Saccharomyces cerevisiae S288C: one gene and its partners. The gene in region 1 interacts genetically with each later gene. Each region holds a gene or a part of one and is shown in the gene's direction. Other genes may lie near its edges. The genes, in order: PHO12, ABZ2 and GPI12.

Region 1 (4,493 bases):
GAATGCTGTGTTCGAACTATAAAGCGTCAGAAAAGATGGTTTAGCGAAGGCACCATTATGAAGATAGACACATTCTTCTTTTTTTTTTTTTTTTTTTTTTTTTTTTTTTTTTTTTCATTTACTTTTATTTCTCGCGGTCGGTAAATTTTTCGTGGGTTTCTTTGAATCTATTAGCCGACATAAGAATAATGCATAAATAATATTTTTAATGTCTTCCTATGCCCAAAAGAAGAAGTCTTGAAGTTGCCGCACATGGAAATCACATGACCATGGCTTGGCCCTTCGTTTTAAATGCAACATGCAATATGGAATGTGTCATGAATACTATCAGCAGGAACAGAAAGCGTCGTTTTGTTTCTGCAAATGCTGTAGTTTTGGGCCGAAAATAGATGTAGTAGAATATATAGTGAAACGTGATGTACAAAAGAAAAAGGTAGTTTAAAAAAAATTAGATAACTTGGATTTTTACCCTGAATATTGCATGTGATTCGTAAAGAACTGAGTTACCTCAAACGGACCTCCCTTTTCATTTCGTATTCCGCGAATCATGAAGTCATGCAATTACCTCTGAAGAGCTGACTGTCCCAAAAGAAGCTATCGAATCTGTCCTTGATTTATTTAAGCCTTGCGTTTCGAGAAAGTGAAAACCAATTGAATACAAAATAAAAAAAAAAGAAGAAAGAAATAGCAGGTCTAAGATATATAAGAAAGTTAATATCATTTTTGAACATTTTATTTTAGACGCCTTCAGCCGCGCGACGCCCGGAGTAATCATATGCCCATGACTTTACCAAAAGGCAACAGGGAGGAACATGCATTAATGTGAAGCATCACTGCTGCAATTCTCGGTGTTGCTAATAATTCATGGATCGAGAAAGAGACATAACATTTAGGCCAATTTTTTGAATAAATATGAACTCAGCTAAGACTCGACAATACAATTTTCTTATACTAAACGTAGATTTATAAAATAAACACAACTGTAAGGGCAATGCAACCGTAGATGCATATATCATTTATAGAAATTATATCCAACAGAAAGCTCAGACTTATATCCGGTTTAAGAGAGAAATTCTTGCTCATATTACCCCAAGACCAGGTGGCGTGTTGAAGTTTATAACATATAAGAACTACTACCTCATGAATTCTAGTGGATGAAAGAAGCAGCACGAACACCATTTCTACAGACAACGACACATGGAAAGGTTCACCATTCCCAAAGAAAACAACGATGGCCACAAGGGTGTGGTCCTCCATTCTCCTACTGTTGGAAGGAGATATTATCCGACCGACTGTTTTGTGATATGGCAAACTATTTTTTTAAATGAGCAAAATTACTTCTTTTGGCTGGAAATGTCATTAGAAAGTGCCCAAGTGACATTTAGCTAAACTCGGGTATTGTCTACAAGACCGGTGCTGTGACCGTTTCCAATACGGAAAGAAACGGTACTGGGAGCAGGAGTTGCTTTTACAGATATGAACAATGCCAATAGAGCCGCACATGTAATTACTGGTTCACACTCGTGGGGCCCACACGATTCCTGTGCAAAGTTTGACAAGAGGATGGAGTTTCACGTAAATGCTGCCAAAGGTGATGCGGTTTTGTTTTTGGGCAGCCTCTACCATGTTGCAAGTGCGAACCATACTGTGGCCACATAGATTACAAAAAAAGTCCAGGATATCTTGCAAACCTAGCTTGTTTTGTAAACGACATTGAAAAAAGCGTATTAAGGTGAGAAAATCAAGATTATCTAAGCCGATGAAAAATGAAAGGTATGATTTCAGCCACAAATATATAGTAGTTATTTTATACATCAAGATGAGAAAATAAAGGGATTTTTTCGTTCTTTTATCATTTTCTCTTTCTCACTTCCGACTACTTCTTATATCTACTTTCATCGTTTCATTCATCGTGGGTGTCTAATAAAGTTTTAATGACAGAGATAACCTTGATAAGCTTTTTCTTATACGCTGTGTCACGTATTTATTAAATTACCACGTTTTCGCATAACATTCTGTAGTTCATGTGTACTAAAAAAAAAAAAAAAAAAAGGAAATAGGAAGGAAAGAGTAAAAAGTTAATAGAAAACAGAACACATCCCTAAACGAAGCCGCACAATCTTGGCGTTCACACGTGGGTTTAAAAAGGCAAATTACACAGAATTTCAGACCCTGTTTACCGGAGAGATTCCATATTCCGCACGTCACATTGCCAAATTGGTCATCTCACCAGATATGTTATACCCGTTTTGGAATGAGCATAAACAGCGTCGAATTGCCAAGTAAAACGTATATAAGCTCTTACATTTCGATAGATTCAAGCTCAGTTTCGCCTTGGTTGTAAAGTAGGAAGAAGAAGAAGAAGAAGAGGAACAACAACAGCAAAGAGAGCAAGAACATCATCAGAAATACCAATGTTGAAGTCAGCCGTTTATTCAATTTTAGCCGCTTCTTTGGTTAATGCAGGTACCATACCCCTCGGAAAGTTATCTGACATTGACAAAATCGGAACTCAAACGGAAATTTTCCCATTTTTGGGTGGTTCTGGGCCATACTACTCTTTCCCTGGTGATTATGGTATTTCTCGTGATTTGCCGGAAAGTTGTGAAATGAAGCAAGTGCAAATGGTTGGTAGACACGGTGAAAGATACCCCACTGTCAGCAAAGCCAAAAGTATCATGACAACGTGGTACAAATTGAGTAACTATACCGGTCAATTCAGCGGAGCATTGTCTTTCTTGAACGATGACTACGAATTTTTCATTCGTGACACCAAAAACCTAGAAATGGAAACCACACTTGCCAATTCGGTCAATGTTTTGAACCCATATACCGGTGAGATGAATGCTAAGAGACACGCTCGTGATTTCTTGGCGCAATATGGCTACATGGTCGAAAACCAAACCAGTTTTGCCGTTTTTACGTCTAACTCGAACAGATGTCATGATACTGCCCAGTATTTCATTGACGGTTTGGGTGATAAATTCAACATATCCTTGCAAACCATCAGTGAAGCCGAGTCTGCTGGTGCCAATACTCTGAGTGCCCACCATTCGTGTCCTGCTTGGGACGATGATGTCAACGATGACATTTTGAAAAAATATGATACCAAATATTTGAGTGGTATTGCCAAGAGATTAAACAAGGAAAACAAGGGTTTGAATCTGACTTCAAGTGATGCAAACACTTTTTTTGCATGGTGTGCATATGAAATAAACGCTAGAGGTTACAGTGACATCTGTAACATCTTCACCAAAGATGAATTGGTCCGTTTCTCCTACGGCCAAGACTTGGAAACTTATTATCAAACGGGACCAGGCTATGACGTCGTCAGATCCGTCGGTGCCAACTTGTTCAACGCTTCAGTGAAACTACTAAAGGAAAGTGAGGTCCAGGACCAAAAGGTTTGGTTGAGTTTCACCCACGATACCGATATTCTGAACTATTTGACCACTATCGGCATAATCGATGACCAAAATAACTTGACCGCCGAACATGTTCCATTCATGGAAAACACTTTCCACAGATCCTGGTACGTTCCACAAGGTGCTCGTGTTTACACTGAAAAGTTCCAGTGTTCCAATGACACCTATGTTAGATACGTCATCAACGATGCTGTCGTTCCAATTGAAACCTGTTCTACTGGTCCAGGGTTCTCTTGTGAAATAAATGACTTCTACGGCTATGCTGAAAAGAGAGTAGCCGGTACTGACTTCCTAAAGGTCTGTAACGTCAGCAGCGTCAGTAACTCTACTGAATTGACCTTTTTCTGGGACTGGAATACCAAGCACTACAACGACACTTTATTAAAACAGTAAATAGACCTAATATGATTTATGTAATTTTAGAAACTAAATATGAATGCTAATTTTTTTCTTATTTTGACTTTTGCTTGCGAGAAGTACCAAGTTGGAACAACAAACACAGTCCAAAGAGGGAAATACAAAGGCACAGTACGCAATTACTTTATTATTCTTTAGCAAGACGAAGATAGTATGAATATACGTGTAAGGCATATGCAAAGCCATGATTTTATACCATAGACATGACATGCGGGTTACATGAGGTGGTAAAATGTTTTAAGATAGCGTCCAGGGCAAGTACATGAAATGTCGTTTAGAGATGATGCAAGAGTAGGGTTATGATGTGAAAGAATAGGGCAATTAATTAACAGAGCGGATGTTGTAGGATGATATAGTGACACATAATATATAAATGATCGGTTGAGCGCGATATTATATAAGAACATCCATATGAGTATATATCCTACCGTGTCTGTTCTCTACAGTGCTTCTTTTATTCAAAATTATTGGTTTTCGTAACCGCCGCGCAGGCACGCCGCGCATCTCTTTTTCTCGAAGAAAGCGGAAAAATAAAAACGAAAAAATAAAAAAAAAAAAAAGTATAAATAGTGAAGACTTTTTCCATTTGATATTTGGTAAAAATTTCGGCTGGAAGTTTTTTGCTGAACATTTAACCGGAGAATCTTGGTG
Region 2 (4,191 bases), on another chromosome or scaffold:
TACAGTCGCTGGCCTAAAAACCATTCTAACAGTAATGAGACCTGATATTGAGAATGAGGATGAGTATGTTAGAAATGTAACTTCAAGAGCGGCGGCTGTGGTGGCAAAAGCCCTTGGTGTTAATCAATTGCTTCCTTTCATCAATGCAGCATGCCACTCACGGAAGTCTTGGAAAGCAAGGCATACTGGCATAAAAATTGTGCAGCAAATAGGTATACTTTTGGGAATAGGTGTCTTGAATCATCTTACTGGGCTGATGAGTTGTATCAAAGACTGCCTAATGGATGATCACGTTCCGGTGCGAATTGTTACAGCACATACTTTATCAACACTAGCAGAAAATTCTTATCCATATGGTATCGAAGTTTTCAACGTTGTACTGGAGCCATTATGGAAGGGTATAAGAAGTCATCGTGGTAAAGTGCTATCTTCTTTTTTAAAAGCTGTTGGATCTATGATCCCATTGATGGACCCAGAGTATGCCGGTTATTATACCACAGAAGCAATGAGAATAATTAGACGTGAATTCGACTCTCCCGATGATGAAATGAAAAAGACCATTCTTTTAGTATTACAAAAATGTAGCGCTGTAGAATCCATAACGCCAAAATTTCTGAGAGAAGAAATCGCGCCAGAATTCTTTCAAAAATTTTGGGTCAGACGAGTGGCATTGGATAGACCATTAAACAAAGTTGTTACATATACTACTGTTACATTAGCAAAGAAATTAGGTTGTTCTTATACCATTGATAAATTATTAACACCATTGAGAGATGAAGCTGAGCCGTTCAGAACAATGGCTGTCCATGCTGTTACTAGAACAGTAAACTTATTAGGGACAGCAGATTTAGATGAGAGATTAGAAACGAGGCTTATTGATGCGCTCTTGATAGCATTTCAAGAACAAACAAATAGTGATTCTATAATCTTTAAAGGGTTTGGGGCAGTGACGGTGTCACTTGACATCCGTATGAAACCGTTTTTAGCACCCATTGTGAGTACGATTTTAAATCATTTAAAGCATAAAACTCCCTTGGTTCGTCAACATGCAGCAGATCTATGTGCCATACTAATACCAGTCATCAAGAACTGTCACGAATTCGAAATGTTGAATAAATTGAACATTATATTGTATGAATCCTTAGGCGAAGTATATCCAGAGGTATTAGGTTCTATAATCAACGCTATGTACTGTATTACTAGCGTAATGGATTTGGATAAACTACAACCTCCTATTAATCAAATTTTACCAACCTTAACTCCAATTTTAAGAAACAAGCATAGAAAAGTCGAAGTAAACACTATCAAATTTGTTGGACTTATTGGTAAATTAGCACCTACCTATGCACCTCCTAAAGAATGGATGAGAATATGTTTTGAACTATTAGAACTTTTGAAAAGTACAAATAAAGAAATAAGAAGATCAGCAAATGCCACGTTTGGATTCATTGCTGAAGCAATTGGACCTCACGATGTTCTTGTTGCGTTATTGAACAATTTAAAGGTTCAAGAACGTCAGTTACGTGTATGCACGGCTGTTGCTATCGGTATCGTTGCTAAAGTGTGTGGTCCTTACAACGTGCTGCCAGTAATCATGAATGAATACACAACACCAGAGACTAATGTTCAAAACGGTGTTCTCAAGGCCATGTCATTCATGTTTGAGTACATTGGTAACATGTCTAAGGATTACATATACTTCATAACACCATTATTAGAAGATGCACTCACCGATAGGGATTTAGTTCATCGTCAGACAGCGTCGAACGTAATAACCCACTTAGCTTTAAACTGTTCAGGTACAGGTCACGAAGATGCCTTCATTCATTTAATGAATCTTCTAATACCCAATATTTTTGAAACTTCACCACATGCTATTATGCGTATTTTAGAAGGTTTGGAGGCACTGAGTCAAGCTCTTGGCCCTGGACTATTCATGAACTACATATGGGCAGGATTGTTCCATCCAGCGAAGAATGTAAGGAAAGCATTTTGGAGGGTGTATAATAACATGTACGTAATGTACCAGGACGCCATGGTACCTTTTTACCCCGTTACACCAGACAACAATGAAGAATATATAGAAGAACTGGATTTAGTTCTGTGAATATATATAGAGCATATAAATAACCACAACTTGTAAGAATATTTTACTTGACACACCTATATCATCACGTCACGATGCCTTCATAGATTATGATGAAATATAAACAGAACCTGCTATTGGAAAAAAAAGGGCAGGAAAAAATTTTGTGAAAGTGAGTAAAAGAAAGATGAAGAGCGAGACATGGATAATAAGAAATAGATGTCACTAATGGACAATTGGAAGACTGATATGGAAAGTTACGATGAAGGAGGCCTAGTTGCTAATCCGAACTTCGAGGTTCTGGCCACTTTCAGGTACGACCCTGGTTTTGCACGCCAGTCAGCGTCAAAGAAAGAGATCTTTGAAACTCCAGACCCTCGATTAGGTTTGAGAGACGAAGATATTAGGCAGCAGATAATTAATGAGGATTACTCAAGTTATTTACGAGTAAGGGAGGTTAATTCCGGCGGTGACCTTCTCGAAAATATTCAGCATCCTGATGCTTGGAAGCATGATTGCAAGACCATTGTGTGCCAGCGTGTAGAAGATATGCTACAAGTCATTTATGAACGATTTTTTTTATTAGATGAACAATACCAAAGAATAAGAATAGCATTATCATACTTTAAAATTGACTTCAGCACGTCTCTGAATGATTTATTGAAGTTATTGGTTGAAAACTTGATTAATTGTAAAGAAGGAAATTCAGAGTATCACGAAAAAATTCAAAAAATGATCAACGAAAGGCAATGCTATAAAATGCGGGTACTTGTCTCTAAGACAGGAGATATACGAATTGAGGCAATTCCAATGCCTATGGAGCCTATCCTAAAATTAACAACCGATTATGACAGTGTTTCCACATACTTCATCAAAACGATGCTCAATGGATTTTTAATTGATAGCACAATAAATTGGGATGTTGTTGTTTCATCTGAACCATTGAACGCATCAGCTTTCACCAGTTTTAAAACCACTTCAAGAGATCATTACGCTAGGGCGAGAGTTCGCATGCAAACTGCTATAAATAACTTAAGAGGTTCAGAACCTACTTCTTCTGTCTCGCAATGCGAAATTTTATTTTCCAACAAATCTGGCCTGCTGATGGAAGGTTCAATAACAAACGTGGCTGTAATTCAAAAAGATCCTAACGGTTCTAAAAAGTATGTGACACCAAGATTAGCAACTGGATGTTTGTGCGGAACAATGCGTCATTATTTATTGCGGCTCGGCCTTATTGAAGAGGGAGATATAGATATAGGAAGCCTTACCGTTGGCAACGAAGTTTTGCTTTTCAATGGCGTCATGGGATGCATAAAGGGAACAGTGAAGACAAAATATTGAGCAGACGACAGATTTTCATATCAATGAAGTTTTTTTACAATAGTTTACAAATCATGATTTTACATACTCAAATATGTGCAGGTTGATACAGACAACGTACGTAGAAGACAACAAACAGAAAACAGCGGTTTATACATTTATTTAAATGACATACAGTGGAGAAGCAGAGAAAGGAAAAGGAGTGCGATGAGAACAGAAGATGAATACTTCGGTTGTGTTGGTTCCACGTACACATTAATAGCATTAAAAATTGATCCTCTGAAATTACTTATGAGTTTTACGTCTTTTGGTATTTGGCGTTTTTCCACTGGCACCAATTGTAATGTTAACCTTTGGAGGGACTGGAAAACCGTAAGACTTTGCTACTTTGGCTAAATCCAGCTTATCGATTTGATAGACAGTTTTCAAAGAGTGGGAAGCGTACGCTTGTAAATAAGATCTATAACCATCCTTGGCTGTTTGATGTAGATAATAGTTGGATTTAATTAATTTTTCTAATTGTGATTGAACGTTTGCAATTTTGTTTTCCGGGAATTCGTACTCATTTAATGGGACCTTGGAAGCCTTTAGATATCTTAAAAACCCTAATTCATTAGGTGTTAAAAACATTAAAGATTTACCCTTACCTTTAGTGCCTCTTGCGGTTCTTCCGACTCTATGAATATAATCTCTTGGATCATCAGGAGGGTCGAATTGAATGATCCAGTCCACAGCAGGGATATCTAGCCCTCTAGCTGCGACATCTGTACAAATCAAGATAC
Region 3 (4,112 bases), on another chromosome or scaffold:
TTTTCCATTTTAATCTTAACGAGTAACCCCATTTGTAACATCATCAGAAGCTTTAGGGCAAATATTTCATGATTAGTGGTGACTGTACTTTTAGTAGTGTTATTCGTCTCCAAATTTTCTGTAGATAAATGCTTCACGACTTCAACAAAATTGTTGAAATATATTAAGAAGTGGTCATTGTTTAGAATTGGTACCTGATTAGACCAAAATTTGAAAAAAAGGTGTAAAAGCTCTTTAATTTCAGTGAGGGAAAGTAGTTCATCATCCTGATCATTAGCCGGCTTTTCTGATTGCTTTGAAAACGAGTTAATGTTAAATTTCAAAGAAATTAAAAACTTTTTCAAATCGACAAACTCGGAGAGGTTTGTGCTTTGAAACCTTTTCACAAAAGCCGAATCATCATCAAGTTTTTTATCTTCATCTTTCTCCTTTAACTTGGTTGATGTTGAAGGTGCTAGAAGCCGTGGTGCTGGCAATCTATTTTTCAATGAAGATAATAATGAAACCGTATACAAACATTGCTTTGAGTTGAAACCAAATATTTGTCTTATCCTAGTTAAAAGCTGAGGAATAAACAGAATTTCTTCAGTAGATCTTGGGATGGATAAAGAAACTAAAGTTGCCAATTGAGTGCTACGTTGATGAGTCGTCATTGATTTTAATGCCTTTACCGCAGGAAGACCAGGTGCCTCGTCCTGTTCAAAAGATATAGCGGTTGGATCGTTTAAACTCGTAGAAGTAGGCTTGACGTGTAAATGATTTGTACAGGAAACGCCGTCACAAAGATGGTCTTTGTGTGGCGGTGGAGGTGGTGCCCCCAATGGACTCATTGCAGAACCGCTATTATCACCATCCATTTTGCCATTTTGTAGCTGCTTATTAACCGTTTGATTTAATAAATAGATATTTGTAGAAGACAGATTCAATGGAGCATCTTTCAAATCATGTTTGAAATTGCCATTTATGGTATTATCCGTTGATGTCTGTGGTCGCGACTGTGAAACAAGGCTTATTTGCTGTTCTTTGATATCACACAAAGCTAGCAAACGCTTATTCTCTGCCTCCAGTTCGCGTACTCTTTCTTCCAGGCTTTCTGTGTACCCTTTTGGATACGCTTTCCTCAGTAATTTATCGCTTATTCTGCATTCAAATCCGACAGCAGCACACTGCGAACACTGTGGTCTTTTTCCATCGCACCTTGTTTTCTTAGATCGACACCTGTCACAAGCTTGAGCTATCCTGTAAATAGGTGTAGATAAAGGAGTCGGAGAAGCTGTCTTGATCATTGCTTCCTTCACGTTCTTGGAAAAATGAGGGTTTGCCTCCGAACTTGAAGTTCTATTAGATATGCTAGGACCGCTAAGCGCTTGTGAACCCAGAGTTCTAATGACTCTGGGTTCCAAACCTTGTCGATCAGAATTATTATTTGCCATAATTTTGTGTCTTGTCTTTTACTCAACTTGTAAATTCTCTTTAGGGTGTTGTAACTGTTTATGAAGAAATAAATACCGTAATGAATTATTAAATTATTAAATTCTTCGTCTTTTTACAATATCACAGGTTTAAAGGGGAGTTTAACAAAATCTACTATTTTACGGCTGTTTTCTTTTTTTGAGTGTCACTGACCAATCATGCTTTCGTACCCCACAAAATATCAGCCCCGCCGCTCCATGCATGTCTCGGTTATCGCTTAATACGAATATAATCACTGAGAACCTCGGCGGCAAAAATATTTACCAATAGGCAAATTAAACACCGAAAAAAAGAAGTTTCAAGTAGAAGATTATCCCGAATACCAAAAAATTGCACGAGAAAGAATGTCTTTTTATGATTTATTGCTTATAATACTCAATTACTCTGGTTTTCTCCGTTCCTGTTACGCACATAAACTCTCTCTGTCTCTGATATCACAACTCATATCGCGAATAAACACCGGATAGAAAGAAGTGAGAGGAGCTACGATAACTGAATATACTCTTTCATCAAAAGTAATGTGCTAATAAAAAGAAATGTTGCACCATCTTAACAGATGTAAAAATGTTCTGCAGAAGGAAAGTTGTGTAATCATACACATTCAATAGTATAAGTCGTATCACAATCTGATGATAAAAGTTGTTACCTCTTTTAACTGCCTCTGATCCTTTTCACATTCAGTAATTTCTCGTAGATGTATATGTGCGAATGTGTCAATGTGTTTGTATGAAATAAACTAGTAGCCGGGTAACAAGTACTCCTAAATTCCCGCTTCGCCGTTTCTATCTCATTGGAGTCGTCCCTTCTAGAAGGTTTACTAGTTACGTTAACGTCATAGAAAAAGGAAAATCGACGCTGCGCTTTTATTTATAATCTTGCATTGCCCTCCTTATTTATCGAATTGTTAAGTGTAGATAGGTGACGCTAGAGCCGTATATTAGATTCTTTCAAACCCTGAAGAAAAGTTAAATGAAGATGTTGAGGCGTACAAAGGTAAATTTTTCAAAATTGCTTTACAAGATTACTAAACTAGCAATAGTACTGACGATCCTATATATTTATTTTACGCCCAAAATCGTCTCCCGAAACAATGCATCATTGCAGCATATTTTTCCTCATAAATATGGCGATTATGAAATCAATTTGGTCATAGCGCACCCTGACGACGAAGTTATGTTTTTTTCCCCCATAATTTCTCAACTGAATTCGTACTTTCCGAGAACCGTCCCATTTAACATAATCTGCTTATCAAAGGGCAACGCCGAAGGTCTTGGCGAAACCAGGGTAAGAGAATTAAATGAGTCGGCCGCTTTATTGCTACACAATGAAAGAGCAGTCTCCGTACAGGTGATGGATTTCCAGGATGGTATGGACGAAATATGGGATATTGATTCTATAACTTCTTCTCTTTCACAAAAGATAGATATAAAGAATCATAACTTGAACCAGATTATCGTTACCTTTGATTCATATGGTGTATCAAATCATATCAACCACAAAAGCTGTTATGCTGCCGTTAAAAAGTTGGTGGATGATTATGCTCAACCTAAGACCAAAAGAAATGAACAACCACCTCATGTCACTGCGCTTTATTTGAGAAGCTACAAGAACAACATCGTTTTAAAGTACAACTCCTTTATTTGGGAAATCCTAAAAATACTTTACGACCTGATTTCTCCATTCCGTAGAATAATTCAGGCGCTTCCGCCTAACACAGCCGCCGAAAAAGACAAGCTTTCACTTATGAATACACATGCACAATACGTACTAGCGTTTGCCACTATGCTAAATGCTCACGAATCCCAAGTTGTGTGGTTTAGATACGGATGGTGGATATTTTCCAGATTTGTCTTCGTTAATGAATTTGATGTTTATACATATTAGACTCTACACTGTAGATATATATATAAAAAAGTCCCATATTATTTACATCCTATAGAATAAGAATATGGAGAAAAATAAATGCTAATTCTACTTACACTTTTCTTACCAAAGGCTACCTATAATCATACCATCATCTTCATCGTCATCGAAACTATCTAGCCGCACTTTCTCCCTTTCCTTTTTGTTCTCAATCTTGTTTTTCATTTTCTTACTTCTTAGAAACATACGATTCGCACAAAAAATATTCAAATCTTTGGTCATTTTTCTATCAAAACCATAACTATCAATGAATTCCCTTACCGCTGAAAATCTACCTCTATTTACAAGCTCCTTAATAATACATTTTTGGTATTTGATAATGATATTGTTAACTTTTCCAGCATTTTCTGCTCTCGTTCTTTCGATCCCCGGTTTGAAACTCCTTAAAACATCAATTCCAAGCGGGAAATTGCCTGTTTTCTTCATGATATCGTACAGTTGTCTCAACGTCTCATAATCAACTGAAGGCCTTAGCCGCTTAGATGCATACCACTGCTTCATTAAATGCCAACATCTAACAACAGAAGTGGCTTTCTTGTCGTTTGCTGGTGTCCAAGCAAAATGACTTAGCTGAAACAGCCTTCTCCAAAATAGCGCATCCAATTTCACGTCCGGATAGTGCTTTATGAATGAATCCAAAATACTTAGGCCTCTGTGAAGATCGTGGTCATTAAAGTAGAATGACACTAAGATTGAAACGAGTATTTTGGAACTAG

What was found.
Region 2: mutations in PHO12 (region 1) and ABZ2 together harm fitness more than expected from each alone (negative genetic interaction), as found in Saccharomyces cerevisiae (one large-scale study listed by BioGRID).
Region 3: mutations in PHO12 (region 1) and GPI12 together harm fitness more than expected from each alone (negative genetic interaction), as found in Saccharomyces cerevisiae (one large-scale study listed by BioGRID).

What each region holds. Positions count from the first base shown.
Region 1 is NC_001140.6:549,685-554,177, forward strand, and holds PHO12 (acid phosphatase PHO12), read left to right. Parts: upstream 1-2,414; coding exon 2,415-3,818; downstream 3,819-4,493. Other genes in the region: YHR214C-D (uncharacterized protein), read right to left, coding at 964-1,257; YHR214C-E (uncharacterized protein), read right to left, coding at 1,516-1,815.
Region 2 is NC_001145.3:846,380-850,570, forward strand, and holds ABZ2 (aminodeoxychorismate lyase ABZ2), read left to right. Parts: upstream 1-2,305; coding exon 2,306-3,430; downstream 3,431-4,191. Other genes in the region: U2 snRNP complex subunit HSH155, read left to right, coding at 1-2,107; ATP-dependent RNA helicase HAS1, read right to left, coding at 3,695-4,191. UniProt on the Saccharomyces cerevisiae protein: Converts 4-amino-4-deoxychorismate into 4-aminobenzoate (PABA) and pyruvate.
Region 3 is NC_001145.3:829,897-834,008, forward strand, and holds GPI12 (N-acetylglucosaminylphosphatidylinositol deacetylase), read left to right. Parts: upstream 1-2,442; coding exon 2,443-3,357; downstream 3,358-4,112. Other genes in the region: DNA-binding transcription factor CAT8, read right to left, coding at 1-1,433; AEP2 (Aep2p), read right to left, coding at 3,460-4,112. UniProt on the Saccharomyces cerevisiae protein: Involved in the second step of GPI biosynthesis. De-N-acetylation of N-acetylglucosaminyl-phosphatidylinositol.